Linked DNA regions of Tamandua tetradactyla. The protein of the gene in region 1 purifies or fractionates together with the protein of each later gene. This does not show direct contact. Links are inferred from orthologs where the notes say so. Each region holds a gene or a part of one and is shown in the gene's direction. Other genes may lie near its edges. The genes, in order: SNRPA1, RBM17, PRPF19 and PHF5A.

Region 1 (8,335 bases):
AGAAGAAGCCAGGCTGTATTTTCTACATTTAGTTTGGAAATTTCCTCAGCTAGATATCCAAGCTTATTGCCTTCAAATTCTACCTCCCAGCCAATACCAGGACTCAATTTTGCCAAATTCTCTGCCCCTGTGAAACAAGGGTCACCTTTCTTCCAGTGGGCAATGACATGGTCATCATTTCTATCTAAGGCCTTATTGGAAGACACTTTAGCATCCAAATTCCTACCAACAGACTCTTCAAAGCCATCCAGGCCTTTCCTATTCACCTCCTCACAATTCTTCCAGAATCTTCCCCTTACCCAACATGTTTGATATTGCAAAAACTGCAGCACCCCACTTCTCTGGTACCAAAATCTGTTTCAATTTGTTAAAGCTGCCAGAATGCTATATACCAGAAATGGATGGATTACATAACAGTTTCAAACCAGATCCAATAGAAGAGTGGACAAAAGAACTAAACAGACACTTTACAAAAGAACATAAGGAAATGGCCAATACATATGTAAAAAAAAAAAATTATCAACTGCATTAGTAATCAGGGAAATACAATTAAGACCCCAGTGCAGCACCACTACCTACCCCACTGAAATGGTTAAAATTAAGAAGACAGACAATACCAAATGTTAGCTAGAGTGCAAATGGGCATTACCATTTTTGAAAACTAGCATTACCTACTTAAGCTGAACATAAGTAAATCCTATGACCAAGCAATTCCATTACTAGGGATATATGAGTATATATGTTCACTTAAATATATACACTATAATGTTTATAGAAGCATAATGTATTCTAGCTCCAAATTTGAAATTACACAAATGTCCAAATAAATTGTGGAAAATTCATACAATGAAACACTCCATTTTTGAAATGAGAAAAAATGAACTACGTCTACACACAAGTATAATGTTAAGCAAAATATGCATGAGGTACAATTTAATTTGTACAATTTCATTTGTTTAAATACAAAAGTAGGCAATCTATGCAAAGAGAGGCAGGATAATGGTTACCATTAGGCCAAGGGTAGTGACTGGAAGAGGACAAAATCTGGTGCTAGTTGCTTGGGTGTGCTTGGTTTGTACTCTTCTGTACTATATATATAATATATATAGTCATACTTCAATTAAAAGTTCAAAAAGAGCTAATTGTGGAAAGTAAAACAATAGCCCCTTGTAGATAACATAGGAAAATATGTTGGAGATTAGGACAGATTTCTTAAACAAGACACATACACACTCACACACAGATACTTACAACCCACTAACTATAATGAAAAAGATCAATTGGAAACTACATAAAAATTGCAAACTTCTAAAAAAATTATTCTAATTATCAAACACCAATAAGAGTAAAAAAGATAAACCACAGAGTGTACTCATATCCAGTCTATGTGAATAAAGAATTCCCATAAATCAATAATAAAAGGGTAGACAACCGAATAGGAAGAGTTGGCAGGAGACCTGAATGTGCACTTCACAAAAGAAGATATCAAAATGGACAGTATACACATGAGAAAGGCCTCAGCGTCATTAGTTATTAGAGAAAAGCAAAATCAAAGCAATAATTCAAAACTACTATATACCCAGTAGGATTGCTCAAATTATAAAGACTGACAATGTCAAGTGAGGCTGAGGTTGGAAGTTCTGGAAACACTTACACACAGCTAGAATGAAATTATTCCAATCTTGGCATACCTGTTAGGCATTGCCTGGCGATGATACAATACCCTTTGTTCTAGCAATTCCACTCCTGGAGAAACTCATGTGCATGTGCACCAGATTCATGTACAAGAAAACTCATAGCATTATTCACACTAGCCCCAGCCTGGAAACAACCCAGTTTGTCCATCAACAGTAAAATGGATGTTATAGTGTAAGACATATCATGAAATTCTATACAGCAGCAGAAAAAGCATTACTAGATACAACCTGCATGAATTTCAAACATAATACTGAACCAAAGAAACTGAGCATAAAAGCAGACTGCATAATTCCATTTATATCAAGTGCTCATACTTTTATGGTCAGTTTATTTGAACACCATAAATACCTGGAATCTTGAATAGGGAGTGAGATTTTGTTCGTTTGTCTAGGTTAGTGTGATGCCCTGATAAATCCCAGAGAGATTTAGGCAGTAAATAAAGAAGTATTTGCAAAATCCCCTTGAGGGAATGGGGAGAAAGGACAAAATATTCAACTTCCCTATTTGGAGAATTTCTAATACTCTTACAAGCAGTGGGGACAACCAAATTAATAGGCTGAGCCCTCAATCTTGGGGTTTGCCCCTATGAAACTTATTTCTTCAAAGGATAGCTAACCCTACTTAAAATTAGGCCTGAGAGTCACCCCCAGAGAACCTCTTTCATTGCTCAGATGTGGCCTCTCTCTCTAAGCCAACTCAACATGTGAACTCACTGCCTTCCCTCCTACGTGGAACATGTCTCCCAGGGGTGTAAATCTCCCTGGCAACGTAGGACAGAAAGCCTAGGATAAGCCAGGACCTGGCATCAAGAGATGAGAAAGCCTTCTTGACCGAAAGAGGGAAGAGAGAAATGAGACAAAGTTTCAGTGGCTGAGAAATTTCAGAGTAGAGAGGTTATCCAGGAGGTTATTCTTATGCATTATATAGATAATCCTTTTTAGTTTATGGTGTATTGGAGTGGCTAAAGAAAAGTACCTGAAACTGTTGAGCTGTGTCCCAGTAGCCTAGATTCTTGAAGACAATTGTATAAAGATATTACATTTACAATGTGACTGTGTGATTGTGAGAATCTTGTGTCTGATACTCCTTATATCCAGGGTTTGGACAAATGAGTAAAACATATGAATAAATAAATAATAAGGGGGACAAAGGGTAAAATAAATTGGGTAGGTGGAAACACTAGTGGTCAATGAGAGGGAGGGGTAAAGTTGTATGGTGTGTATGAGTTCTTTCTTTATTCATTTCTTTTTCTGAAGTGATGCAAATGTTCTAAAAAATGATCATGGTGATGAATACACAACTATGTGATGATATTGTGAGCCACTGATTGTGTGCACCATGTATAGAAAGTATGCATGTGAAGATTTCTCAATTAAAAATTTTTTAAGAAAGAAAGTGTGCAGTTAAACATTGCTACCTATCATAACTTGCCAAACACCAACCAAAACCACTCCAGCCAATCATAAGGAACACCCAGGGCAATATATAAGATTCTACAAAGGTTCCATGCACTAGGGTAACTTTCCAGAAACCTACAACCTCCAGATGGACCCCTGGACCAGATAAGTCCTGAAACCCAGAGCAGCCAGCCTCTCCAAAACATCAGCTAGTTCCGTGTCCCTACATATTATTAATAGCCCCTTCCAACATGAAAAAGTTAGAATGGGCATAGCTCAAATACCCCTAATAAGTGGAAGTAGGATCAAAGGTGATGGTGGAGTTATACAGAGAAGGTAGGGTTTAACAAATGAGTATGATTGCTGAGTCATTATACTGATATTTCTTTTAGTCTCCAGTATCTTAGAGCAGCTAGAAATAAATACCTAAAATTGTGGAACTGTTACCCATACCAAACTGTGAAACCTGTTCTACAACTAATTGTTGCACTGTGCTTTGAAATTTGCTTTTGTATATGTTATTTTTCACAAAAAAAAAGTCTATTGTGATGATAAAAAAATATTTTTTTCCTTCTGGCCTCCAATGTTCTGGAGGAGTTAGGAAAAATCTGAAATGATGGTATGGTAGCTAATGACAAACTCTGGGACCCATCCTATAACTACTTGTTAAAGAGTGCTTTGAAAACTATTGCTTTTTTCTTTCTTTGCTTTGTATATATGTTATGTTACACAAAAAACAAAAATAAAATAAAATTAAGTAAGTGAAACTAACCCATTGTTACGGTTCACTGTTTTCTTTGGGTTGGGCAAGGAGTTCTCAGGAAAATGTTCTTTTTCTGAACCTGGGTAGCACTTAGGTAGTAGTGTTTTCTCTGTGGTCATTCATCATGCCGCAGTTTTATGATTTGTGCACTTTTCTGTATATCATACTTACATATATAGTTTTAAATGTCTAGAGACCACAGGCCTAGCCACCGCTAAAATCCTGCGCCCTACTTTTCTGAGCAAACTCTTGAGTTTCCTTTTGCTGTCTTTTGAAATGTGAAATCCCCACCATGGTGGCTGACCCAGGTAAACAAGCAAGCCAATCAACTGGTTTACTGCATTTGCCGCAATACAAAATAAAATCCCACCTGCCCTAAACCCACCCCTCGAAGCGGAACAAACCCCTGTCCAATCAATAGGAGTCAACCTAACCTCCTTTTTATGGCTGTAAAAATCATTTGCCATTCTTAGAAGCTGGAAGCTGCCTCTGTTTTTACCCGTGCTCAGGCTTCCTTGCTGCACCCAAACTTCTGGTGTTCCGAGTAAAATGCTGTTAACTACAAACCACGCCAGTGTCTTTGGACACCGCAAATCCAACAGTGCTGGTGCCCGGTGGGAAGTCAGGCAGTGGGGCTGTCCCAGCAGTCTGGCCACAAGGGGGTAACCATGCCCTGGCTCCCACACTGTAGCCCAACAGCCAAAGCCCAGGACTAGGACGGAAATGTGAAGTTGCAGCCCCTCCCTACATTGAACCTCAGAGGTCCCCGCCCTCCTGGGTGGAGTATGGATGGTCATAGCTTCCCCTCTCATTTTCCACTGATGTATATGAAAGCTCCACAGAGGTGCTTTCACACTTTGCTTAACTTTCGGAGACAGCTCTCTGGTCTCAGAGGCCCACCAGACAAGATACGCAGAACCCAAGGAGTCCTCAAGCAGCGCCAGGCAGGAACTTAGAAAACGAGCCGGGGGCGTGGTCCTTCGATTGCTTCTGCCTGGCGTCGAGATGCGCGCGCACCCGCCGGCTGCGATTGGTGCTGTCTGGAGGAGGGCGCGGGGCACACTGGGAAGTGTAGCCGGCGAGAAGCAGTGGGCCTTGGCGCTAGGAAGCGCCAGGAAGCGGGAGTGTTGCAGGATGGTGAAGCTGACGGCGGAGCTGATCGAGCAGGCGGCGCAGTATACCAATGCTGTGCGGGACCGCGAGTTAGACCTACGGGGTGAGTTCGGGGCAGCGGGCGGCCGTCCCTGGACCTCACTGGCCACGTGTTGGCGCCCCGCCTCCGGCCTGGATTCTGGGCGCCCAGGCGGTCGGGGCCTCCGCCCGCCGCCGAGCGCAGTTCCTGGTACATCGAGTTCTGTGAGCCGGCACCTAGAGGCGATTCTTGCCTTTGCCGCCAAAGGAGCCTTCCGTTAGGCACCACTGAGACTTCTGCAGTCCCTATCCTACTCGCACACACGTGGCCGAATTAATTGCTTCCTTGTCCATGCCCGTGGACCTCTATTAGACCTTGTTTGGGGCGTTTCGCAATCCGAGCTCTTTTTCGGGCCGAGAATTATATACTTAGTAATGATTGTGACTCAAGTGCACGGCGGATGGTTGGGTCTCGCTAAATACTTTGAAATGATACTGTGGGAGTAGGTGGGGCATATGGTGATTACCCATAATTTATGACGAGGGAAGCCAATTCCGGGAACAAAAGCGATTGCTTATTTTCCGCGGTATTTCCTTCTTACTGGCTTTAGGTTCCTTCAGTTTCCTTTTCATCAAAACGTTTTAAAAAATTCATTCTGCTGTTTCACCAAGCTTGCTGCGGGGTATGTTTCCAGCCACCACCACAGGGTGTTCTCCAAACTTTGGAGGTTCATGTAGATATCTCAGCCGAGGAAGGCATGACTGCTTTAGAAAGGATGTAACGAAAAGATGTGATCTTTTCTGGGGTGAAGTTTATCCATTCCCGGTCTAAGGTTTTTCCACATGGAGACCGGTCTCAGGAACAGCACTTCTTCAGGCTCTGCTTTTTTATTAGTTTCTTTGCTGATTGGGAAGTCCCAGTGCTTTTATTTTGTTGAAATCACCTTTCTTAGGGAAAGGTTCAGTTCAAGGGTAACTTACTGTCTTCAGATTCGTGGTACCTTTCTAAATTCTGAGGTGCACCCAGTATTGAAAACATTTATTTTGGTGTAGTACCTACTTTGATGTAGTTCTTACAGTTCCAAATTGTGTACTTTATTCCTGACTGGGTTTCTTTCTTCTTCTAACATCTAGCATGATAATTTTGCCCATATTAGACCAATCGTGAGCATTCGAGTGAATGGTTCATAGTATGCTGTAGTAATGTGTGTAAGCTGTTGACCCTCAATTCTGCATTGGAACTGGGGGAAATGAAGAAAGCAGAAACAAACACATCAGTAGGATATCCTGCTGAATCTAGCCTGTTGGAATGCAAAAGAGGTTGAGGGCTGTTTTTCACATAGTATAAACAAGGCTTGGGTACTAATAGTCAGCTAAAAGCATAACTTGCTCTGGAGCCTTGATTAAATCAGAGCTTCGGTTTCATTTTATTTTTAAATTACATTTTGAAATTGTTTTATTGTGGATTTATAGAACAATCAGGCATAAAATACCAGATTCCCATATACTACCCTATTATTAACACCTTGCATCATTTTATTGTTACAGGGGATGAAAAAACTTGAGGCTAAATGAAACAAATCATGTGTACTGCTTACAATAGTACAGGGTACCTTATAAATATTCTTACAGATGTTTGCTACAAATATTAGTAATAATAAGTAATCCTCATCATCAGCTGCAGCAGCATCTCCATGTTCACTACTAGATTATAAGTTTCATAGCCACAGGGACTTTGACTGTTTGACATTTTATCTCCACTACCTAGCACACTATTTGGCATGTTGTAGGCGTTAGGTAAATAGTTTTGAATGAATGAAAGCCTTCAGTCAAATTACTGTGAAATATTGTTAATTTTTTAAGGTAACTTTTAATTATGATACAGTTCTAATTCCTTTGCTTGATATTTCTTGTTTATTTTTAATGTTACAGGGTATAAAATTCCTGTAATTGAAAATCTTGGTGCTACCTTAGACCAGTTTGATGCTATTGATTTTTCTGACAATGAAATCAGAAAACTGGATGGTTTTCCTCTGTTGAGAAGACTGAAAACATTACTAGTGAACAACAACAGAATCTGGTACTTTCTACTAAGTAGTAATTTTTCCCAAGAGTAAATGTTGCAGTGATCCCTGAAGAGATTGTAATGCATACTACTGGTTAAATCTGTTTATTTCTTCTTAATGTGAGAAATGACCTGCACTCCTCTCATAGAGATCCAGAAGATTAACTTGGCATTGGTCTAATCTTATATGCATCTGTTTTAGAAATGTAGAAAATTTATATATTCATGGTAACATTTTAATTTAAATTTAAAACATGCTTCATGGTACACATTTGGGCTTCTAAAACAATAATTATAAAAATGAAAAGGATCACATTAAAGGAATATATAATTTCAGCAATTATATTTTTGCTCAGACAACTCTTTCTTACCTCACATTCTCTGCTATTTATGTTTCTTTAATTACAATGGATTTCTAGAATATTACTTACTGAAATTGAAATCTCTTTGTGACCCTACGTCAGCTTTGTGTAAATTTTATAGAAGAAAATTTATACCAGGTATACAGATAATGTCTTTAAGAAGGTCTCCTTGTTGAGACATATTTCTCATAAATTTATCATTCCCTGTGGTATAGTTTTGAACGTCTTATACCTGAATTATGAATGCAGAATCATGTATTTCTTTGCTGTCTGCACAGAGAAATCATGAAATGCACTCTCACTAGGTATTGTGCCAGTGGAAGGAGCTCTAGGCAGCCTTCACAAGGCTTATGTACTAAAATCCTCCCAGTTCTGGTACTAATCCAAGACCTTTTACGAAGTTTTCTCTTTGTGCCTCATTTCCCTACTGTCAGATGGGGTTTTGGAAAAAGAATCTAAGTTTCCTTTTAACTGTGAAGTCTGAAATCCTCTGAGCAAGAACTTAGATAAAATTCTTAGCTAACTAAATTTTAAGAGTCTTTTTCTTTTAGCCGCATAGGTGAGGGACTTGACCAGGCTCTGCCTTGTCTGACGGAGCTCATTCTCACCAACAACAGTCTTGTGGAACTGGTAAGATGAATGGGGGGAAATGTTTTGGGTGGGGGTGAGATTAAAGGTACTATATCCTTCCTATAAGAAATTTGATAAAGCCAGAAAAATTCATAGAAGATTGTCTTATCCTTTTTCATTGTCCTTTTCTGAATTAATTCAGGTCCTGAACCCTTTTTGGTTATAAGGGTTACAAAAATCTTCTCCTACTGCGACTTGAATTTTCACTCTCTTAGGGTTTCTTGGTAGAGAAATTTCTAATTTAAGTATAATCCAATTTATTAATGTATTTCTTTGACAATGTGTTGAT
Region 2 (7,740 bases), on another chromosome or scaffold:
AGTTCTCGCCTGGCATGCTGGAGACCTGGGTTCGATTCTCCATGCCTGTCCATGCCAAAAAAAAAAAGAAAAAAAAAGGACATTACCAGGACAATCTGTGAAATTTGAATAAAGTCTATAGATTAGATAATCACATTACATGAATGTTTGTTTCCTGATTTTTATAACTGTACTTTGGTCATATGAGAAAATGTACTTGTTTTTTTAGGAAACACACTGAAGTATTTAGTGGTAAAAGGGCATTACATTTGCAATTTACTTTCAAATTGTTCAGAAAAAAAATAGAGAAAGAAGATGGTACAGTAAAATGCTAATATTTGGAAGTCTGGATGAAGGGCTTATGAGTTTTTGTGTTATTATTATTGTTTTCTATGCCTGAAATGATTTCAAAGCAAAAAGCTAAAACTCTCATACACACACACACACACACACACACACACACATGCTATGAAACTATAAAGTATAATGATCTCTGGGTAGGTGGATGGTGGAATTCAGAGGTAGAAGAGAGAATTTTACTTTTCTTTGGATACCTTTTTATTCTATTTGAATTCCCCAGAGTTAGTAAGTGTTTATGGTTTTCAGACGCAAAGTTTGAAGTCATTTGTTTTGTAGTGATAATTGTTCTAATACCAAGGGACTCCTACCAAAATAGAAACTGCTGCAGGAAAAAGATTAAACCTGAACCCAAACCAAAAAAGTAAGTGCTTTAACAAAATGAAATTATAATGAGAAGGGAAATTTCAATCATAAAGTATGACTTTCAAACTTTCAAATAAACTAAAATAAAATTAGAAAAAAAAAGAATGACTTCTCTTCTTTCTCATGAACCAAATTTTAAGTGTCCTTAAAAGTTTAGCCCAAGGCTCACTTTTTCTCTTAAGTGTCAGTTGAGTCAGAGACTTTGGGGTGAGATAGATACCGTGTTCTCATCATGACTCTACCACTTGCTAAATGCCCCTGGGAATGTCATTTCACCTAAGTAAGCATCACTTGTCAAATGGGAATAATACAATCTCACAGAACTGTTAAGAGAGTTATCTAAATAAATACCAGGGCCTCCTCCCCAGTCTGCCAGGAACCTCTTTTCTTTTCCTCCAGGTCCAGTTCATGTGTGAGGTAACCAATGCCCAAGACAAAAAAAAAAACACTGACAAAAAAAAAAAAAAGATTATTATACTTTCCTTTTAAGAGCATGTACAGGGATTTCCATGGTGTTTGTGGTAGATGGAATTATGGACCCAAACAAACATAGGTTCTTAATCTTAATCCACACACCCATGGGTGTGAACCCACGGTAAATAAGACCTCCATCTATTTCTTCTGTTCAACAAATCTCTGGCCCCCAGGAAGGAGTGCTGTCCACAGCACAGTGGGTTGTCCATCTCCTGCTGCAGACTGGGTAGAGAGACAGCTAAGGACCTACCTTCACTCATACTAAGCGAGATTTTAATCTCCTACTAGTTCGAGCCATTGCCTGCATTTCTAAAACAAAGTTTCTTCTACTGAGACTTTGGTACCACCCTTTCCCAGCCTTTTCCACATCTCCTTGCCCACTGGCTTTCCCATGAACCCACAACCCAACTCTCTCTCTCTCCCTAGTTGTGTTACTTCTGGCTATTTCCTTAATCTGTCTAATCCTTTCTTTCCATGCCATCTTTCCCTTCCACCAAGACTGAGAGCTGCTGAGGTTGACCACCTGCATGAGCAGGCTCCGACAATCAGAACAGCCCTTTAAGAAAATTTTGGGTTTCACAGGTGAGCCTGAACCCAAGAATCAGACCTATTTATAACTCTGAACTTAAGCCTGACTAAATTTGAACCAATAATCTGGATTTCATTCCAGAAAAGCCTCCCCAACTTTAGGTCACCTCTGAAATGGAGTTGACCTCCATAAGCCTTAGTCTCCAAGTCAACCCTAGAAATAAATCCTCTGAACCCAGGAAGGATCCCTCCAAAATTGTGACTGAGCACTCACTGTAGCCCTGAGCACTTTGTCTTACTTTACTCCCGAGGCTTTTCTCTGCTCTAAAAGAGGGCAGATCCCCAGCAACCCTGAGACTGGCCTCAGCCTAGGACTGAGAACTTCTGTCCCAATGTACTTCTTTGTGCTAATATTTTATTTAGGATTTTTGCATTGAAAATCACAAATGACAAAAGAATAAAATTTTCTTTGGGCTGTATCTGTTGGCTTTAAACAAGGCATTTGGAAGTTTTCCTCCTTAGTTTGCTCAGTAACAAATAGCACAACAGAATTTGTTGTCCCTAGGCGTCTGGTAAAATTGCCCTGTGGATATATCTGGACCTGGTACCTTTTTGGAAGGTAGTTCTTTGCCATTCTCTAAATCTCCAGTGATGATTGGTCTGCTTAAATTTTCTAACTCTTGTAGCATCCATTTTGGGGAAATTATATTCTCCTAAAAGTTATCTATTTCATCCAGACTTTCAGATTTGTTTGATAAAACTGAACAAAGTCATCTTTTAAGATAAGTTACTTTTCTCTGTATTTGTGGTGAATTCCCCTTATCATCCAATATTTTGTATACTTGTGCTTACTCCCTTTTTTCTTGTTTAATTATCAGCTCATCTATTCATTTCCAAAGAATCAGTTGTATTTATTGCTTAATTTCATGTTTTTCTGGTTTATATACCATTATTTTTGCTCTCATCCTCATTAATTACTTCCTTCTGCTTAAAAAAAATGATTTTGTTGTTCTATTTCTAAATTCTTCCATGGGTGCTTCATTCACCCAGTTCATTCTAATTTTTTAAATTAGTGCAAACATCTAAAACCATAAATTTTCCTCTTAGTATTGTTGTAGTTAAATCCCATGAGTTCTAGTATGTCATTTTCATTTCTGTATTCTTCTATATATATTACACTGTTTTGATTTTGTCTTCCTTTTGACCCAAATATTATATAAGCATTTTTAAATTTCCAAGGAGTAGGATTTTTTTCTGTTACTAATGTCTAGTTTTACTGGACTGTGATCAGATAATATCGATATGGTTCTACTCATTGGAATATATCAAGTTTTGTTTGTGGCCTAAAATATGGTCAAATTTTGTGGATATTCCATGGATGCTTAAAAAGAAGCAGTAATCTCTGTTTCAGGGTACAGAGTTTGATATGTTAGATTTATCATATTAGCTACATTTTTAGGTCTTCTCTACCCTTATTTACTTTTGTGCCCTTAATCAGTCATGGACTGTACCAGTGGTTTCCATCTATTAATTCTCTTTACATCTCCTTTAGTGTTTGCTATGAATAATGCAATTATGTTCTTTGATGCACAGATTCTTTTTCCTTTACTGTGAATTGTACCCCCTTATATTTATTAACCTCCTTATGTTCCCCATCCTGAAATCAAGCTTGTGTAAGACTAGGTTTGTGATCCCTGAATTCTTTATTTCTGGTATATCTTTTCCATTCTTCTATTTTCAAACTTTCAGAATCCCCTTATTTTAGTATTCCTTCTCAGATACAATACAGAATTGAGCTATGTCTTGTGCTCCAGTTTGAAGTTGCATTTTTTGATAGGTGAGCTTAACACATTCATGTTTACTAACATGAGATATTTGGTTATAGTTCTGTCATCATCTTATACTTTCTGTTTTGTAACTTTTTCAAATATCTCACACTTGATTTTGTTTGTTTTGTTGTGTGTTGCTTGATAATTTAAAAGGTTTGTGTTTTTATTCTGGTTTATCATTATATCAATGACAAGATGTTCTTAATCCTCTATTTAGAATCTCTATTGACTCCCTACCTTACTTCTTTCTTTTTCGCCTTGCCCTCCCTTTTCTTAGTCACCGGGTTTTATATGATTATATCTTATCTTTTTTTAATGTTTCTTTGTACTAAAACATATGCTTAAATCTATTATTTGATTTAGCTTGAAATATTTTGACCCCCAATTATAAGTCTGAAAATAAGCATATTTACACCAAACCCCACTTTCTTTTTCCCTTCCAACTTCTGTAGTCATGTAGTTTTAAAATTGTGAGGGACTATAACATTTACTTTCATTTCTGCAATCCCAATCCTGAGGCTTATAGGCAAATCAATTCAATGCTCACTGCCATTTATTTTGCTGTGAATATTTCCATTCATCTCGTCTATGGTGATTTATTTTTAGTTCTTTGCATTAGAATGGAGAACCAGAAGAGATTCTCTCCTTTACCCTGTTAGAAAACAGTTAGCTATCGAGAAGATCGCGGTTGTCCTGGACCATTTCTTCTTCTGCCCATCTGGGGTCACTGCCACTTTCTTCTACTATTTAGATTTCAATAACTTGCGCCACTGCGACACCTTTTGGTGAAAGAAAGAGACGCTGGCGGAGGAGGGAGAGCAGTACCGACCTCCCACCGAGAGGTGCCGCTGCAGACGCGGCGCCGTGGCACAGGCGTCCCCTCTCTACTGGCGGCGCACGCTCCTTCATCCCCGCGCCGCGGAGCCCCTCCGGATTTGGCGTAGGAGTTGGCGCTGACTCCGTGGCCCGGTGTCGTCGGCGGGCTTACGCAGGGTGCGTCTCCTCTTCTGGCCGCCGCGCTTCCGGGCTCGGTACGGAGCTTGCGCGTCTCGGCCCCGGCTCCGTGGTGCCGCCACTCCGGCCCATGGGGAAGGTCGTCTGGGCGAGCCGGGTAAGTAGCCCCCTCGTCGCCACCCCGCCGGCCTGGCTGCGAAGCTGGGGCGGGAGCGCCAGCCAGGACCGCGCCGGACGCGAGGCCGTAGATTAGGCCGCGCCGCGCAGGGGGCGGGAGGGTCCGACATCGCCAGCCCCAAGCTGAGGGCGATCTCGTCCTCCAGCTCTCAGGCCCCGGGTTCCCTGCGCTGAGCCCATTCGCGCCTTGCCCCTGGCTTCGTTCCCAGAGCTGCTGTCGGGAGCCTCTGGCCCGGTTCTCCTCCTCCTCCATATTCTCTTCTCTCCGCCTCCAAGCGCAGCACCTTTTCGTGCGTTTGCCACTTTTTTTTCTCATCCTCCAGTCCCAGTCTTTCGTACTCTTACTCTCTCCTTCCTGTTCTCTTTTATCTGCCAGTTTCAGTCTTTCGGGGGCTAAAGAACGTTCCTTCTCTTCGTTGATCATGTGTGAAAAAGTTTGTCGGTCCCTTGACCCTGTTTCCAGGGCAATATGTCACCTGTGCCCAGCACTCTTGTGTCCCTCCAGGACTCAGGAAGTGGAGAGGATAAAACCCATTTCCTCCCAGAACTTCGAAACTGGGAATTCCAGATGTCAAAAAATTGGAACCTACCTGGGCAAGTGAAGAAAACCATGACTTCCCCGTTACCTTGGTCCTTGTCATTTTACAGTGGACTTGTAAATTGTCAGGTCCTGGTTTTAGCTCTGTTGTTCAATCATCAAACATTTTTCGAGCATTTACTCTTACCCAGACAGTATGTTATCAACTGTGATCTACGAATATGTCGCTACTTTCATGAAATGTGGTCTCTAGAGAAACTAGGCATGAAAACCCTACCTGGGTTGATCTGAGAGACTAGAGTGGGATCTGGAAAGACTTTCGAAGTGGAGCTGATACTTATGCTGATTCTTGAAGGGTAAATGATATTTTTTTAACCCACAAGGAGAGGAAAAGGTTTCCTGCAAAGGAAACAAGTGCAAAAGTACCAGAAAGGCGAAGCACCATAATACTTGGGTAACTGCGGGTAAGGCAGAGAAAAAAGTTTGAGGAGAAATTATTTGGAAGGTTAGTCATGTCAGACCATGAGGGGGTCTTTGAGAAGTAAGGGAGGACCATCAAAGGTACTTGTCAGATAAGCCAGGTATGAAGTTGGAAAATAGAATATTGAAGATAGGATAAGATTCTACATACACTCAAATAGACCATGAGAACCTGTGTCCCTGCCACAGGTAAAGTTTTTAAACACTGCCGGTCAGTTTCTACATTTTTGCTACAAAAAGGCCACACATTTTGAGTATAATAAGGATTTTTAGGGAATATGGAGTAATAAGTTAGTAATGCAAACCAAGAGTTTTATGATTAGAATTTATTAAGCGGTGATTAGGTACTGCAGAGAAGAGTAGGTTGTGATATTAACAAAAACGTAAGATGGAATAGAAGTTAATAGTGAAGAGCGATTCTGATTGTGAAGTTCTGTGGCAACTAAAGATAGCCTTTATGGGAAATAAGAATTTTCAGAGAATTGTTAAATGTCCCCCCAAAACGTAACTTATTAAGGTGATTCTTTACCCTGTTTTAGTTTATCTTCTTATTCTTCCCTGCAAGTGAATTCTTCAGACCTCCCCTTGCAGGGAAACAGATGATCCAGGGTTAGTAATCCCTCAAACCTTTCATAATAGTAAGTGATAGAAGATACTCAATTATACACTTTAATTCCAGGTGACTCTAGTGGGCTTTGTCTGCAGTGTACTCCAGTCTGTGTCATTTTGGTCAATAAGTCTATGAAAATGAATGGAAATATTAAACAGAATGAACATGTGAGAGTGGGAGGTACAGGAAATTTCTTTTAAACTCCTTTAAAAAGTTATCATAAATGGGGCAGTGTGACGGTGGTTCAGTGGCAGAATTCTCGCCTGCCATGCCGGAGACCTAGGTTTGATTCCTGGTGCCTGCCCATGCAAGAAAAAATAATAAATAATAATAATAATTAATGTTATACATGAGGCATAAACCTTTTATAGCTGTATTTTTTGTGGACAACAAAGTGCATCACCCCTCATGGTTTCCTTCTTGTTCCTTTCTGTGTATGCTTGCTGTATTCTTCAGGCTTCAAAGAGGAGGCTTTGGTTTTATGATACATAAATATCTATGTAGTGATAAAAAGGTTTCTTGCCAAACCTTCTTTAGGTGTTCAGAACTCAGACCTTTGTTGTGGGTTGTACAGTAGTAGTAGTTTTTCTCACTTTAATTATGTTAATACAGTTTAAAAGTCATCAAACATATTAAATTTCATTTCCTGTAAGATATGTCTTTAAATACAGATCTGCAGATCTTATGGATGTTAATAATGTGATTTAAATAGATGCTGTGGTAGTTAGGTTCAGTTGTCAACTTGGCCAGGTGAAGGTGCTTAGTTCTGTTGCTGTGGACATGAGCCAATGGTATGTGAACCTCATTTGTTGCTCATTACATCTGCAGTCGGCTAGGAGGTGTGCCTGCTACAATGAATAATGTTTGATTTAACTGACTGGTGCTTAAATGAGAGAGCACAACGTAGCACAGCCCAAGCTCAGCATATCTTATCTCAGTACTCAGCCCAGGCCTTTGGAGATACAGAAAGAAATCACCCCGGGGAAAGTTGTTGGAACCCAGAGGCCTGGAGAGAAGGCCAGCAGAGATCACCCTGAGCCTTCCCATGTAAGAAAGAGCCTCATTTGAAAGTTAGCTACCTTTCCTCTGAAGAACTAAGGAAATAAATCCCTTTTTATTAAACGCCAATCCGTCTCTGGTGTGTTGCATTCCGGCAGCTAGCAAACTAGAACAAATGCATTAGCATTTTCTATCTATTCTGTGATACATTTAGAAAATATTTATTAAGTGCCCACAATGTTCTGACCATGATGCTAAACTGGAGATACAAAGATGAAGACAAAAACAGCCCTTTCATTTACAGGGCTTATAATGTAAGACGAATACATAAACCTGTAGGCAGTGTATCAGGTAGGAGTTGCTGTGATCCAAGTATGGAACAATGGGGGATCGGTAGTTTTGTGTGGGGGTGATAGTCCCTAAAGACTTAAGAAATGCACTTGAAAGAT
Region 3 (7,544 bases), on another chromosome or scaffold:
AAGGCAAGAGTCAAGCAACCACAACAAAACTAAGTATTAGTGTGTTTGTGTGGTCCTTTGTTATCTACTAAGTGCTTTTTACATTGCCATTTCATTTGATTCTAACAATACTCTGAAAAGTGTTGCAAGTAAAAGTCTCCCCATTTTACTCAGAAAAATGTGGCTTAGAGAAGTCAAGGGACTTGTCCAAGACCACCTGGAAGATCTGGGATTTGACTCAGAACCCAGATCTAAATCCTGCCCTTCTGCTTGTCTCATACGTTACTTTTACCTTCGTGAAAGTAATGATGGCTAAGGCCCCAGACAAGCCTCTTAAGACATGGCCCCTGCTCTCAAGGAGACTTAAGTTCTGTCCAATATCAACAAGGTCAAAGTGGGAGGACATGTACATGAGACATGACTCCCAGGGGTGTAAATCTCCCCGGCAACGTGGGGCAAGACACCCGGGGATGAGCCTGGCCCTGGCATCGTGGCATTGAGAAAGGCTTCTTGACCAAAAGGGGGAAGAGAAATGAGACAAAATAAAGTTTCAGTGGCTGAGAGATTACAAATAGGGAAGGGAGGTCACTGTGGAGGTTATTCTTATGCAGCATATGGATATCCCTTTTCAGCTTTCAGCATATTGGAGTAGTTAGAGGGGAACAGCTGATACTGTCGACTGGTAATCCAGTAGCCTTGATTCTTGATGATGATTGTATAATGATATAGCTTTATGTGTGTGTGTGTGTGTGTGTGTGTGCATTGGCAGGGAATCGAATTCCAGTGTCCTGCATGGTAGGGAAGCATTCTACCACTGAACCACCCATGCACCCTATACAGATTTTAAGGTTTGACTCTCTGATCGTGACTGACACTCTTTTCACCCACCGTATGGGGAGATGAGTAACAAAATAAACACAAAAAAATAAGCAAATAATAGGGGTGGAGGGGTGGTATGGGATGTTTTGGGTGCCCTTTTTTACTTTTATTTTTCATTTTATTCTTATTTATTTTTAGAGTAAGGAAATGTTCAGAAATCAACAGTGATGATGAATGCGCAGCTATATGACAACACTGTGAACCACTGATTGTACACTTCATATGATTATATGGCATGTCGATGTATAATATATATCAATAAAACTTGCATTAAAAATATTTAGAGAAAGTATATATAGGCAGAAAAAAGATCGGAAGCAAATACATCAATTAACAGTGTTTTTTTCTTTGGACAGTAGGATTGTGGGTAATTTTTGGTTTATTTTCTGTGCTTTTCTTTCTTTTTAACTTTGTCAAAAATTACAATGTCTTCGTATTATAATCAGATTATTTTTAATGTTATTAAAGAAAAATCTACATTAAAAAAAGTGTGGGAGGACATCCAGACCCCCAAGAGGAGACCACCTACCAGGAGATGCTGGGTTTACAACTCACAACTCATGCTTTCATACCAAGAAATATGAGAGGATAGCAAAAAATGGCGACAAGACCTGTCACTTCTGCTCGGGCAGCTGCAATATGGCTTGGACAGGGCCAGGAGAAGCCAGGTGGGAAGGGGAAACTACTTATTCTGATAGTGAGTAGGCACTATATGTTTAGCTGTGGTTGCTAAGAGGGCAGGGTGGGGCAGGCTACACGCCCTTGTCCCCTGCTGAAGCTCCTTCCTCCCCTTTCTTTGGGTTAGTTTCCTTTCAGGCTATGAATCACTGTGTGGCTGGAGGGGAAGCTGCACTAGTGTCCTCTGCTGGCTCTGATTTCCCATCCACTGCTCATAGCTGCCTCTATGGAGCAACGATTCTCAACTCTGATGGCCTTTGAGAATTGCCTGTAGAGACTGTTTAAAGGATGGCTGCCTAACCCGGGTCCTACTTAATCAGACTTTCCCAGAGAAGGGAAAGCTTTCAACCTTTTGTTTTTAAAGCCCCCCCACCCCACCCCCGGCCACACAAACACACACACATACACCCAGGGACTTCTGGTGCATAACCAGACAGCTGGCAGAAATGATCAGCACTGCAGGAAAAAAAAATAAAGCTACAAAGAATCCTAGACTTCTGTTCCAGGTTAAGTTCTGTGACAATCTGAAAGCCACTACCCTTATGCCAGCCTCTTACTTCTCCTCAAATGTAAAATGGAGTTAGACGGGGTTAAGAATTGTTGCAAGGAGTTAAGACGTTTCTGCATGAACTCTGTAAACATCTAAAGAAGTGCTATGGCACACTGCCCTCCACCCCCCAATTGGCCAATATACCACTCGTGACATTAGCCTCCCATTATACTTTCAGCTCCTCCCGGTCAGACTTGACATCTAACATTTTGGAATCTCCCGCGCCTAGCACAGAAGGAGAGGAGTCCCCCACGCCTACTGCAGAAGGAGAACCGATACGTGCTTTGTAGAATGAGTATTAGAGGCATGCCAGGAACCCCGTGAGGACAGAAAGGGAGAACGGTGGGTAGTAAGAGGGTTCTTTCAACCACCGATCCAAACATGAGGCGGCCACCCGAGAAGCACAGCTGCGCTGAAAGGCAAAGAAGGGGCAAAGCCGCCGCTGAGGAGGATGAACTCAGCATCCTGACAGGTCGGGCACAGCCCGGGCTAAGCCCCTGACAGCTGCTCCCCAGCAACTGTTTGGGGGCAGGGCGACGGGCAAGGGGGCAGCTTCCCAGCCGCGCCGCACCCTCCCCAGGACCCAGCCATCCGAGGCAGGGTGTCAGTGGCATGTGCTATTTCGAACAGCGGGTCCCCTGCCAAGCCCAGTGGGGTGGCGTCGCTCGCTGGCAGGGGACGCAGGGCGGCTCATGGCCTCGGGGTACCGACCCCGAGGGGCTCGGACAGAGACCGCGGGGGTGGGGGTGGGCAGCGCGAGGTGGGGATCGGTGGCGAGGGTCCCGACCCTAGCCTCGTCCCTTACTCTGGCAACCGCCCTGTCTCCGCAGGACTTCCAGCAGCGCTGGGATTCCCTCTGCTCCCCGGAAACGTACGCTTCCCGGGTTACCTAGTAACGACGCCCCCGGTTGCATAGCAACGAGGATCCGGGTCCCTAGTTTGTTTCCCCCGCCGCACGACGTCGGACCCCTCCCCACTCCGGCTCGCCAGGCCTTGAGGTTCCGGTCTCGTCCTCCCCACAGCGGCTGCCGCTTCCCGGCCCTGTATGTCTCTCCTCCGGCCCCGGTCTCGGCTCATACTTACGGAACTTCGGCAACCGTTGCTCTTCACGTGCGACTTGGCTAAAACGCGCCACCAAACCCGCGCCTCAACGCCTGGGCGTTCGTTTACCGTCTGCGCATGCGCCAGCTCCTGAAGCCGAGCCGGGTCGGCCTTCGCCGCCTCAGGAGCTTAGTGCCATGAGCGCATGCGCTCTACCGTCTCGATTACTTTTTTTTTTTTTTCCCCCAAGTTTTAGTACGGAGAGAAGAATGGGATCGGAAGTTCAAGCTGGGAACGGAAGTCTCTGACAGGAAAGGGGGAAAAAGGTGACTATATCTGGGCTGTTCAGTAGGTAAACTGGATCTTTGGAATCGAGGTCGAAGCCAATTTGCCGCTTCAACCCCCTCGGAATTTGGGGAAATGTAGTTCTTGGGCTACATAATGCCGCCTCGGGCATTGTGGGAAATGTAGTTCTTAACACAGGCGCCGAGAGCCTCGGGTCTCGGGAGAAACTTTGCGCTCAAAAGGGGTCATGGTGTGAGAATTGGAGGCGCAGCGACAGTGGGGAAAGGCATCTGCCCCATCACAGGGCACGTCCACACCTGAACCCTGCCGGGTGTTCGCTCAGAATTTTAGAGCAGTAGGAAAACCAGCGCTCAGACTCCTTCAGCGGTGTAAACGGGAAGGATTTGGGGTGCGGCGACCTGCTCGGTGATCCTGGACGCGTCGCTTGATTTCTCTGAGCCTCAGATCCTTCAGCTTTACTCTGAAGCAGCTTTCAGTGCTGTAAGGTTCCCAAGATACCGCCTCACTGTCGGTTTGAAGATTGATTCAAGGAAGTGAAGAGAGCGAATATTACTTTGAAGACATCCACATTGCTTCCCAAAGGCTTCATCGCCGTTACTGACAACCGTAGGGATGGCTCCTTTCTGCTGTTAAAACCAGGTCCTCAAGAACGTCCTAAAAATCGGAGCCCTTTTTGCCCCTCCCCTGAACCTGCCTCCCCATTCTGCCTTCTTTCCAGGTTACATGCAGGAGTGGCTCCCAGTCTGTCCTCTAATCTAGTTGTTTCTTTCTCAGACTCACCTATCTGCATTTGGGCCCTCATCATTTACTGTTTCAGCTAAGAATCTTCTGGAGCAGGCTCCGGTGGCATCGTAGACCTCACCTTTAAGTTTTGTAACAGTCGCTGTTTTACGTTTGCTGGTGAGATTGTTTCTGATTTGTAGGGCTATGGATCTCAGATCGCAGACGTCCCTGTGCAAGCATTCTTATTTTTTTCCTATGATGTTATCTCTTTTCAAATCTCTTCTTTTCCCTTGGAGTGGTAGAAACAATCTCAGACAGGGTTCTGGGTTCTTCTGACTCCTGACTTTCAGGTTGTACGCAGTCTTGGGAAAGTTAACGTATGGCCAGCCGGGAGAAGGGAAAGCTTATCTAAACTTCAATCTCAGTTGTTTGAATTGGCAACTCCTGAGACTCCCAAATCTTCTGTCATTTATCCAGGCAGGTTGCCACTGAATCTACCTGGGAAATGGAGCTTGGGCTGCCTCTGGGTTATTGGCAGACATGCCTCTATGTTTCTCAAGCAACAGCAGCTTTGGCCTGAGGGAGCAAGGGAAAGGGCTCCTTTTTCAGAGACTCACCAACAGCTGTGCAGCTATCTCTTCCCCTCTATTTCCAGCCTAGGGAACTTGTGTCTCTGCTGGTTTGAAAGGATGTATGTACCCTAGAAAAGCCATGTTTTAATCCTAATCCTATTTTGTAAAGGCAGCTGTTTCTTCTAATCCCTATTCAGCATTGTATGTTTGAAACTGTAATTATATCATCTCCCTGGAGATGAGATTTAATCAAGAGTGGTGTTAAACTGGATTAGCTGGAGGCGTATCTCCATCCATTTGGGTGGGTCTTGATTAGTTCTTTTATAGGAATAAAAGAGGAAACATTTTGGAGAATGAGAGCAATTCAGAGAGCAGAGCAGAATGACGTAGCCACGAGAAGCAGAGTCCACCAGCCAGCGACCTTTGGAAATGAAGAAGGGAAACGCCTCCTGGGGAGCTTCATGAAGGGAAGCCAGGAGAGAAAGCTAGCAGATGACGCCGTGTTCCCCACATGCCTTTCCAGATGAGAGAGAAATCCTGTTCGCCATGTGCCTTCTCACTTGAGAGAGAAACCCTGAACTTCATCGGCTTTCTTGAACCAAAGTATCTTTCCCTGGATGGACATTTCTACAGACTTGTTTTAATTGGGACATTTTCTCGGCCTTAGAACTGTAAACTAGCAACTTATTAAATCCCCCTTTTTGAAAGCCATTCCATTTCTGGTATATTGCATTCCAGCAGCTGGCAAACTAGAACAGTTTCCTTTATGGGGATGTTGAGGTGGGGCAGATTAAGGAGAGTGGGTGGAGGTCAAACTCTTACAAGTTCTATTTACTCCAAAATCAACTGTTTAATATCTCGATCCTCTCTAGTCCTTTAGAGGCTGACTTTTGAAATGCAAAATCCTTTAAGGGACTCCCTTTTCGCTATGTTCTGAAGTCACAACCATAAGCCCCCCCCAATGGAGGGTCATTTCTGATTTTGCTCCTAGTGCAGTGCCTGTCTGGTACATAGTGGGTACAGTCTAGTAAGTGAATGGCTGATGGTCTCCCTCCAGTCTGCCCCGCTCCAACCTTCCAGTAAGCGTCTTCCAGAGGAAACTTCTAGAAATGTGGTTATCTTTAGGTCACTCCGTAGCTCAAATGCAATCAAATGCTGTTCTGCTCCCAACCCAGTCAAGTCTAACCACTTACTGTACAAGGCCCCGACTAAATCCACCCAGTCTATATCCTGCCACATCCAAGTATTTGAGGTGCCTGACGTGTCAGGCAGCCTGTTATTCAACAAAATTTATGAAGTTCCTACTGTTTGTCAGACACTGTGTTAGAATCTTGGAACAACAGTGACCAGGACAACTGTGATTCCTGTCATCACAGAGTTTACAGTCTAGCAGAGAAATCAGACATCAAACAGATAGTTATAAAAAATTAAGTGATTGTAGCTATCCAGTGGGGCTTCAAGGAGAATCACAGGGTGCTATGGGGTCTAACTTCAGATAGAAATCAAGAAAAGCCTTCCCCACGAAGTGACATTTAAAGTGAGATGAAATTACATTGGAGGGTGTATTCGTTTGTTGAATGCTGCTGGAATGCAATGTACCAGAAATGGGTTGGCTCTTACAAAGGGAATTAAATTACAAGTTTACAGTTCTAAAGCCATAGAAATGTCCAAACTAAGATATCCAGAGAAAGATACCTTGACTCAAGAAAGGCTGATGGTGTCCAAACACCTCTATCAGCTGGAAAGACATGGGGGCTGGTGTCTGCTGGCCCTTTACTTCTGATTTCAAAACAGCTTCCCCAGGGAAATTTTCTTTCTGCACCGCCAAATGTCTGTGTCAGCGCTGAATCAACTCCAAAATGTTTCCCCTTTTAAAGGACTCCAGTAAACTAATCATGATCCACCTTGAATAAGCAGAGTCACATCTCCATCTCATCAAAAGGCCGCACTCACAGTTGGGTGTGTCGCATTTCCATGGAACAATCCATTCAATGTTTCCACTCTACCGTATTGAATCAGGATTAAAGGACGTGGATTTTCTGGGGTATAAACAACACTTTCAAACCAGCACAGAGGGTATGGGGGGGAGGGGCCAGAGTGGGTCAGATTGAGAAAGTCAAAGTCTGGAGAAAAGATGAGGTGAGAGTATCCAGGTGCAGGGCCTGGGGGAAGTTTCCTCTCCCTTATTGGTGGTCTCAGGATTGACTCCTTTCCCTCATCCAGGCTTTAGCACCTCCTCAGTGATGCCCCCCTCCCCAAATATCCTGTCTAGAGGAGCCCTCCCTCCAATTTCCGCACCTCCTGTGCATCTTAACCTTGTTTTGTTTTATTCATAGCACTTAACCATTCTTTGGGATTTTCGTCTGTCTGTGTGCCCTCCAATGGAATATAAGTTCCATGAGAACAAGAAACTTGTCTTTCTTGTTCACCATTTGTATCTCTGGTTATCAGAACAGAACCTGGCATTTTTAGCAGGTGTCCAGTCAATGTTGTTGAATGAATGAAAGGCCCGGAGTGTACTGCGAATAGATTTTTCATTGACAGTAGGCAGCTGTTCTGTGACAGGCTGGAAGTAAGGAAACAAGTTAGGAAGTTATTTTATTGGTCCACAGGAGAGCTACCATCATGGCAGTTTGGACAATCTAGCTAGATTTCATGATAATAATAACGTGAACATTTATATTGTGCTTACTCTGTGCCAGGTTTAGTTCAAAGCCTTTTTTTTCTTTTGCAGTACTGCTCACAAAACCTTGTGAGTTAAATCTGCTCTTGTAATCACTCCCCTTATTTCACGAGTAACCTAAGGAATATAGAAA
Region 4 (8,047 bases), on another chromosome or scaffold:
TTGTTTAGTCATTCATTCATTCAGTTCAAAGCAACAGATGACTATGGGACAGTTGGCAAGGTACCCTGGTGAACATGTAACCAGCATGACCTGTTTCACAAATCAAAGCACGATTAAAAAAAAAAAGGCACTTTACAAAGAACTTAATTTCTGTCAAACATGTCAGTTTCTTTGTAGCTAACTGCTACTCAGCAACCCTAGTGTCTCAAGGAAAAACCAAGGATTTGAGAAATCTGTTTACAAGTGCCCAATCTCTTCAGTAAACATTTGTGGTCTTTTCTATAAACATAACTATTAAAAAACAAAGAGTAAATGAGGGTTTTCAAAAATTTCACCTCCCATCTTCTTCACTCTTGTTTCTAATCTTGCTTCCTGGTAGCAGTTTCTGCAAACAACAGTATATTTTAATTTAGGGAGCATTGTTCTCAGATTATGAAGCATCAACAGACTGTCTTGAGGCCAAAGAGAAGCAGCATAATGCGGTCTCTAGAACTTCAGGCTTTGGAATCACAAGGTACAGATTCAAATCACATGTTAACAAGTAGTGATAAGACCCTAGGCAAATTTATCTTATTGTACTTAAGAATTATATAACAATTACTAGTTGCCAGGCAGGGTTCTAAATGCTTTACAATAATATGATTATTGAAGATTAAATAAGATAGATGTACTGTTATCATCTGTATCTTAAAGGCAAGGAAACAAGAACAGAGAGGTAAAATGACTTGCTCAAAGTCAAAGCTAGTATTAGAGCCAGGATTCCAATCTAGGCAGTCTGATGCCAGAGTCTATACTCTTAATCCTTACACAAGGTTCCTCTCCAATCCACAATTTCTTCATCTGTGAAATTTATAACTAATTAAGTCTGCCTTATTTCACTGTCATGTGTGATTTCTGGTACACAGTAAACCACTATTACTAGTTACTCTTAGCAGCTACTAAATCGGTTCACTACTCTTAGTGGTTGTAGTAATAGTCGTAATTCTATACTCTACTTTCACCTTTGGTCCAGCCAAGACTAAAAGAAAAATATTCTGGCTGAGAAACCTTTCCAAGGCCCTCCTAGTAGGATACATTATAATATAATGGAAGCTCCATGAGAATAGGATTGTCTGCTTTACTTACCATTGTATCCATGCAAACAGAGCTCAGTAAATATGTGAAGAATCAAGTGGGAATGAATTGAATACAAGGACAAGATTCTGCCAAGACATGATGACTACTAAGGTGGTTACTATTATTTCTCAAATGTGGCTAAACATGAAAGAGGTAAATTCACAAGGTTCTCAGAGGACGGTGTGAGCTGGCCATTACTTGAGACAGCCTGACTACTGGGAGACAGTGTGGTATAATGCAAAGTAAATAATATTGCTCACTCATTTTAGTTTAATGAACAAACAAAGGGACCTGTATTTTAATCCTGACTCTGCTACAGACTAGCTGGACCATTACTGGAAATTAACCAGGGCTCCAAAAGCATCTGTAAAGAGGAAGTTGGACTATATGCTTATCATACATACATTCTATTTGATGGGACTCACCAAAGGACTTTATCATGAAAGTAAAAAGACATCCTACACAACGGGAGAAAATATTTGGAGACCACATATCTGATAAAAGTTTACTATCCAAAATATATAAATAAATCCTTCAACTTAAAGACAAAAACCCAGTTAAATTTTTAAAATGGGAAAAGGACTTGAATAGATACCCCTATAAAGAAGATATACAAATGGCCAAAGGCACATGCAAAGATACTCAATATCATTAGGCATCAGAGAAATGCAAATCAAAACCACAATGAGATACCATTTCACCCTCACTAGAATGGCTACTATTGGAAAAAAAACATAATTGGGGTGGGCCACTGTGGCTCAGCAGGTAGAGTTCTCGCCTGCGATGCCAAAGACCCAGGTTCGATTCCCGGTGCCTGCCCATGCAAAAAAACAAAAACAAAAACAAAACCAAACAAACAGATAATTACAAGTGTTGAAGAGGATGTGGAGAAACAGGAACACTCATTCATTATTAGTGGGATTGTAACAATGATTCCACCACTGTGGAAGACAGTTGGAGCTTCCTCAAAAAGTTAAGTATGGAATTATCATATAGCCCAGCAATCCCACTTCTCTGTATATATCCCAAATAACTGAAGATACTTGAACAGATATTTGCACACTGATGTTCACAGTAACATTATTTACAAAACATGGGAGCAACCCAAGTGTCCATCAGCCAATGAATGGATAAACAGCATGTACATATATATGTATATACATACATACAATGAAATATTATTCAGCCATGAAAAGAAACGAAGTTCTGATACATGCTACAATATGGATAGCAAACCTTGAAGAAATCATGTTGAGTGAAATAACTCAGACACAAAAGGACAATATTGCATGATCTCACTGAAATGATTAGAATAAGCAAACTCAAGAGTCAGAATCTAGAATACAGGTTACCAAAGGGCTGAGTAGGGAGAAGGAATAGAGAGTTAAGATTTTAAATGTACAGAGTTCCTATTTGGAATGATGGAAATGTTTTGGTAATGGATGGTGATGATGGTAGCATAATACTGTGACTGTAATTAAAGCACTAAGGTATGTATTTGAATGTGGTTAAAAAGGGAAATGTCACGTATTTACAGTTAGAGAATAAATTTTTTTTTAAATCCATGCAGCTGCACAAAAAAAAAAAAGACACGACTACATGTTGATGATAAATACTTTCTATTTGCTCGTTACTTTATAACAGTCATCACAACAACTTGCAAGAAAGATGATTACCAGGCACTCAATAATGTTCAATGAAGATCAATACCAATTGAAGATGAGGTAACTGGGCTTCATGAAATAACTTGCTCAAGGTCACAGAACCCCGTAGAACATGAACTAGAGTCTGGATCTCTTTTACAGTAAACTAACACTTGCAAGATTCTCTTCAGTTCTAAAATGTTGTAATATTATTCCTCTTTCCCAAGCCTAATTCATCTGTAATCATTTATCTTACCAAGTAATCTTGCCTGACTCTTCTATATCATGGGACAGCGGGATCAACCTAAAGAATCAAAAACACCTTAAGAGATAAAGATACAAATCCCTTGCATTTGCCCAGAATCGAGACTAAAAGTATTTTATAATAAATGATTATTTCATTTTAAGCCACAAGGTTTAAATTTAAGCAATGTGGTAAAAAATAATTTCCAGTCACACAATGGTTCCCAAGAGTACAACACATAACTTCTCTTTTTAAATTTTATAATCAAAACTCTGCCACCTGATTTAAAGTAGATCCACAAAGTTAAATTTAAAGGTTGGCAGAGAGCGTCTAACAAATGCTTACTTTCTTTACTGTATTAACAAAACACACACCTGACACTGAATCTCTGAGTATAACATCCTTCTAAGAGTTGTAAGTTAGGAATTTTAAAACATCTGGCAGTCGCAGCCAGTCAACTTTCTTGGTGGCTCATAACGGGAGAGTCAAGGTCAAACAGTTGAGCCTCCTTACCCTCCCATCTAGTATCTGAAAAGCAACCACCTGTGAGTTCAAAATATTCCATTCTGGTGTTCTCATAAATACAAATGTTAACTCCAGAAACACACCCTGGCTCAAAGTTTTGTTGATGACAAAGTTACATGGAACAAGAAGACACTCTTAAACGCAGGAACTTTCACCTACTCTCAAGCAGTTTCACCGCTTATCAAATGAGAATAATCACCTTGTACTTATCGCACTAGATAATTATATGAACCAAATGATGAAGAATTAAAACAGTTGTGCAAACGCGAGAGGCTACGATTATTATTACTATCTTCTAGGTCGGGGTCCGGAAGACCCCCTTGCACTCTTGGCTATATCTTCCGCAGGGTCTGGGATAGGGTACCAATTTCTTCTGACGATTCCAGACCTGGCAACCGTAGATGCACCTGGCAAGTCTGGTGCTGAGATGGAGAGTCCTCAGGAACTGGACCTAGCGGGCTCAATAACGACCGTGCCCCCCAGTCACCTTGCCGTCACCTTGAGGAGCAGAAAGAATTTCTACGAGAGCCGAGAGAGCGGTCCTAAAAAGGAAGAAAGAGGAGCCTCTATTCTTCCACAGGCTGCCGCTGCTTGAACCTACGCTTCCCGCAGGGCTGGGCCAGGGCCAGAGAAACTGACTGAGCCGGGGACGCCTTGACCTCGGGCGTTAGAGAAGCGGGTACGGGTGCTGAGCTCGCAGCCGGAACTGGTACCAGAAAAGTCGACCCGAGGTAGACCCCGCCTCGCTTTGCCTCGCCTACAGCCGCAGGCACAATGGGAAGCACCCTGCCCCCATGAACCTTGGGGTTCTGGGCTCGCTCACCTGAAGCCGGGTCACCAGAAGGCTGTAGGGCGCCATTTTGTGCACTGACAAAGATGAGGTCGCGTGAAAGTGACGTACTACATAGCGTCATTTAAAGCCTTTGGGCAGGGGGCGTGACCTAAGAAGAGACACGTCGACGGTGGGGGCGGGGCCTTCCTAGAGGTGTCAGAGCTGGGGAACACAGTAGTGGGTGGAGAGCACATGTAAGGAACGGACACGTGAGAGGGAAAAAAGCTGCAGAAATAAATACCCGCTACAAATATATTTTATTGAAAAACAAGTTTCCGTTGTATCTGCCATCCAAATCTGGGAAAACTATATATTTTTTTAGGACTTTCAAGCACCTGCCAGGACCTGGTTCCCCAGCAGTGACAGATGCTCGACTAGGAATTTAAGAGCTTTGATCGCGCGAGAGCGAGCTTTGGTGCAAAGACAGTAAAATGGTGAAAGCTTAGCCGACCAATCACGGCGACCCAGAGGCAGGAACAATGGGGGTTAAAGGTCGGACGGAAGTTTCCGAAACTTCCGGTGGCCGGTTAGAGTGGGCGCTATGGCTAAGCATCATCCTGATTTGATCTTTTGTCGTAAACAGGCTGGTGTTGGTGAGACTGCGCCCCGTCCCCGGCTTGTCAGTGAAGGGGTCGTATTATGAGCTGGAAGGTTGGGGGGGTTCTCATTACTTCTCTAGAGTGTCGCCTCGGACGTGCCACGCTTCCCGCCTCGGGGTTTCAGGGTATTGTAGGAGCGCGCGGATACGTGCTTCTGAGAAAAAGAGGGCGGGAGGCGGGGAGCCTTGAGGCGGGGTTGGGTTCTGGGGCTGGGTACCAAGAAATATTGCTGAGAATTGCCAAGGACCTGGGACGGGCTTCAGGAGGGAGGTCGTGACTGTGGGTTTGGCTCAGATCGGAGTTCATCGTGAATAATAAGATGGCCATTCCTTAGAATTTACTGTAGTCTCTGTTCCTGACCCCGCCTCCGGCTCAAGTGTGTTTTTCTCTTTAGCCAAAACACTAATTCTAATTGTACTCTTACCTTCTTCGATCTTGCAGCCATCGGAAGACTGTGTGAAAAATGTGAGTTGAACTCCCTCCCAGCACCCCACCCCTCCCACTCAGTTTCTGTGGAGCCAGTAAACGGACATTTCCACCAGTGCCATATAAATGGGCTTTGAATAGGGGTGGCTGGAAGCATGTAACAATGCCAGGCTGCAACTAAGGGATCCCTCTACTTCCCCACTCCGACTTGTACATTTTAAATGCTATATTCGGGTTTTGAGAAAGTCTCCAGCTTTGGACATGAATTGCTAGAATAGCATGACCCCATCCCCAATACAGTTTTAAGGACTTGGGAGAGGAGGAACTTGCAAGTGAGTATGACTCTATTCTCTTTTCCTTGCAGGTGATGGCAAGTGTGTGATCTGTGATTCTTACGTGCGTCCCTGCACCCTAGTGCGCATATGTGATGAGTGTAACTACGGCTCTTACCAGGGGCGCTGCGTGATCTGTGGGGGTCCCGGGGTCTCTGACGCCTATTATTGTAAGGAGTGCACCATTCAGGAGAAGGATGTGAGTGTATACAAAGCTTTCTATTTGACCTTTCCTTTTATTTAGTAACACTGCCATCCACAGCAAACTCCTATGGTCTGTGGAGATTACCATGTTTGGCTAGTCACCTAGGTTATAATTTCAAGTTCTTTGAGCCAAGTTGGGTGTGGACCAATAAAAGGCAGTTATTTTGCATCAAAGGCAAAAATGCAAGAGAAGCAAATCTTTGTCAACACCAGCAATTTGGCAAGACTTCTCTCTATTCCTTTAATGTCACTCTATGATTATTCTTATTCAGAAACAGCATCCTGCATTTGTAAGTCTTAGCTCAGTGCATAATGTGTAATAGCCACTCAGTAATTCTCTTGACTCTACTATCATTAGGGATTGCTTGGGTGGATGTGGTGACAAAGTGGAATTTGAGACCGTTTAAGTTGATTTCAGCTTTCTACAGCCGAAGAATGCCTTTGGTTTAATATCGTAGAATTGACTGTGGTTCCACCTCATGATATTTTTATTCCCTGACATTGTGTAATGGCAGACAATGGCTAGTTATCATTGAACTCCCTAAGCCAAATGCCAGGAAAGAGGACTTGCAGATCTGCACCAAAGACAAGTTTTAACATTTTTCTTTAGATTTGTACTGGCAGCAGGGCTCTTGGAGGGGAAAAACAACCACCGTGAATCAGCTTGTTTTCTTCCTACAACACAATAAAAGGAAATGTGATGAGGGTACCCCATTACCTAGTATAGCATAAGGCAAAAGATACTGAGTTCTTCATATTTCCATGAGCAAGGAGTAGATACTTTATACAATTTCCCTTCTCCTGACAATAACTGTAAAATAGGTAGTGGTATCCTCATTTTACAGTGCACCGTCCAGCTAATAAGTGACAGACCCAGGCTGTCAGACTATACTTTGTGGTGTCACCATTATACCATGTTGTCCTTTTGAAATAGCTTTTGGTAAGATGTTAATTGAACTACCTCAGTAGTCTTATTTATTCATTTGGATCCTGTCTATCCCCAGTAGGAAGGACATATCAGGCCAAATTAGACTATTTCTTGCACAATTACATCTCCAAAATTTAGAGAGATGCGAAAGGTCATAAAAAAACATAATTTCAGTTGGTTACTTGAACATTCTCCTGGACTCTGATTTACGTTTCTCCTTTGACTGTGAAACCATATCCTGCATTTTATAAATGTGGATCTGAAAAAATTAAATTAAAAACAAAACAAAATAAATGTGGTTCTGGTTTTGCAGCTAGATTAAACTCCTTTAGCACAAGGCCCTAGGACTATGTATTTGTCTCCTCCGTTTCCCCAGTTCTTGGTTTAGTGCTTAGCTGGTAGTACAAGCATGAGGGACATTTTTGGTGCCGTCCCTGTAAACCATATGAATATCCCTTGACAGGGTGTCTGATACATAGGTGTTTGGTAATTATTTACAGCATATAAGCAGTGTAACCATGGTAAGGTAACAGCAGGGAAAAGAAAGGATGAGCAACTCTTAAGCTAGCTAAAGTCCATTAAGAACAACATTTTCTTGAACTTTTGCATGATTGTGACTGAAGTTCTTATCTGGCATAAGCTTTGCAACCAGAGAGTGCTTAATAAATGTTAATTGCCATCTGACTCGTATGCATGTGTATGTGACCTGATACTTTGGGATCCTTATGCCTCATTTTGTCCCTGAGAGAATGGTCTTAGACGTCACTTCCCCTACCTCACATTGTACAGGAATGTTCTGAGGATATTTGAGATGGCATCTAGCTCATATTTAATCAGCACTAGTTTCCAAGGAACACAAAGCAGTCCAGTGACATGATCCAGGCTCTCAACCTTACAGATTGTCATGTAGATTAAGTGCCCAAGACTTTTTCCTATGCAGAAATCTTCCCAGAACCAAAGCACTCCCCATTATTGTTCTCTTCCTGCAACTTTCATAATTTATAAGGGAATTAGACCAGAAAGCTAATCTGGGTTCTCCCACTTACAGTTTTTCAAAGCCACAACAATAATCAGGAGTTGAGGATAATATCTATGAAAATTGCTAGTTTCTTATAGGGCAGCACCACATTAATCCTCTTTAGCCCTTGATTCCTTTACTCCTTTCACTTACCATTTTCTTCAATTCTCCTCCCATACA

What was found.
Region 2: the proteins of SNRPA1 (region 1) and RBM17 purify together in Homo sapiens (affinity purification with mass spectrometry; 5 studies listed by BioGRID and IntAct, with this or other methods). This does not show direct contact. The link is inferred for Tamandua tetradactyla from reciprocal best matches to the Homo sapiens genes SNRPA1 and RBM17.
Region 3: the proteins of SNRPA1 (region 1) and PRPF19 fractionate together in Homo sapiens (co-fractionation; 3 studies listed by BioGRID). This does not show direct contact. The link is inferred for Tamandua tetradactyla from reciprocal best matches to the Homo sapiens genes SNRPA1 and PRPF19.
Region 4: the proteins of SNRPA1 (region 1) and PHF5A purify together in Homo sapiens (affinity purification with mass spectrometry; 4 studies listed by BioGRID and IntAct, with this or other methods). This does not show direct contact. The link is inferred for Tamandua tetradactyla from reciprocal best matches to the Homo sapiens genes SNRPA1 and PHF5A.

Annotation. Positions count from the first base shown.
Region 1 is NC_135338.1:83,233,938-83,242,272, forward strand, and holds the start of SNRPA1 (U2 small nuclear ribonucleoprotein A'), read left to right. Parts: upstream 1-4,894; 5' UTR 4,895-4,992; coding exon 4,993-5,074; intron 5,075-6,921; coding exon 6,922-7,069; intron 7,070-7,967; coding exon 7,968-8,046; intron 8,047-8,335. UniProt on the Homo sapiens protein: Involved in pre-mRNA splicing as component of the spliceosome. Associated with sn-RNP U2, where it contributes to the binding of stem loop IV of U2 snRNA.
Region 2 is NC_135333.1:57,822,070-57,829,809, reverse strand, and holds the start of RBM17 (splicing factor 45), read left to right. Parts: upstream 1-4,419; 5' UTR 4,420-4,644; intron 4,645-7,740. UniProt on the Homo sapiens protein: Splice factor that binds to the single-stranded 3'AG at the exon/intron border and promotes its utilization in the second catalytic step. Involved in the regulation of alternative splicing and the utilization of cryptic splice sites.
Region 3 is NC_135335.1:14,204,510-14,212,053, forward strand, and holds the start of PRPF19 (pre-mRNA-processing factor 19), read left to right. Parts: upstream 1-4,112; 5' UTR 4,113-7,544. Other genes in the region: voltage-gated monoatomic cation channel TMEM109, read right to left, coding at 2,976-3,000. UniProt on the Homo sapiens protein: Ubiquitin-protein ligase which is a core component of several complexes mainly involved pre-mRNA splicing and DNA repair. Required for pre-mRNA splicing as component of the spliceosome.
Region 4 is NC_135333.1:34,625,102-34,633,148, reverse strand, and holds the start of PHF5A (PHD finger-like domain-containing protein 5A), read left to right. Parts: upstream 1-4,848; 5' UTR 4,849-4,901; coding exon of another isoform or gene 4,902-4,953; 5' UTR 4,954-4,999; coding exon 5,000-5,084; intron 5,085-5,400; coding exon 5,401-5,424; intron 5,425-5,749; coding exon 5,750-5,916; intron 5,917-8,047. Other genes in the region: ACO2 (aconitate hydratase, mitochondrial), read right to left, coding at 4,352-4,387.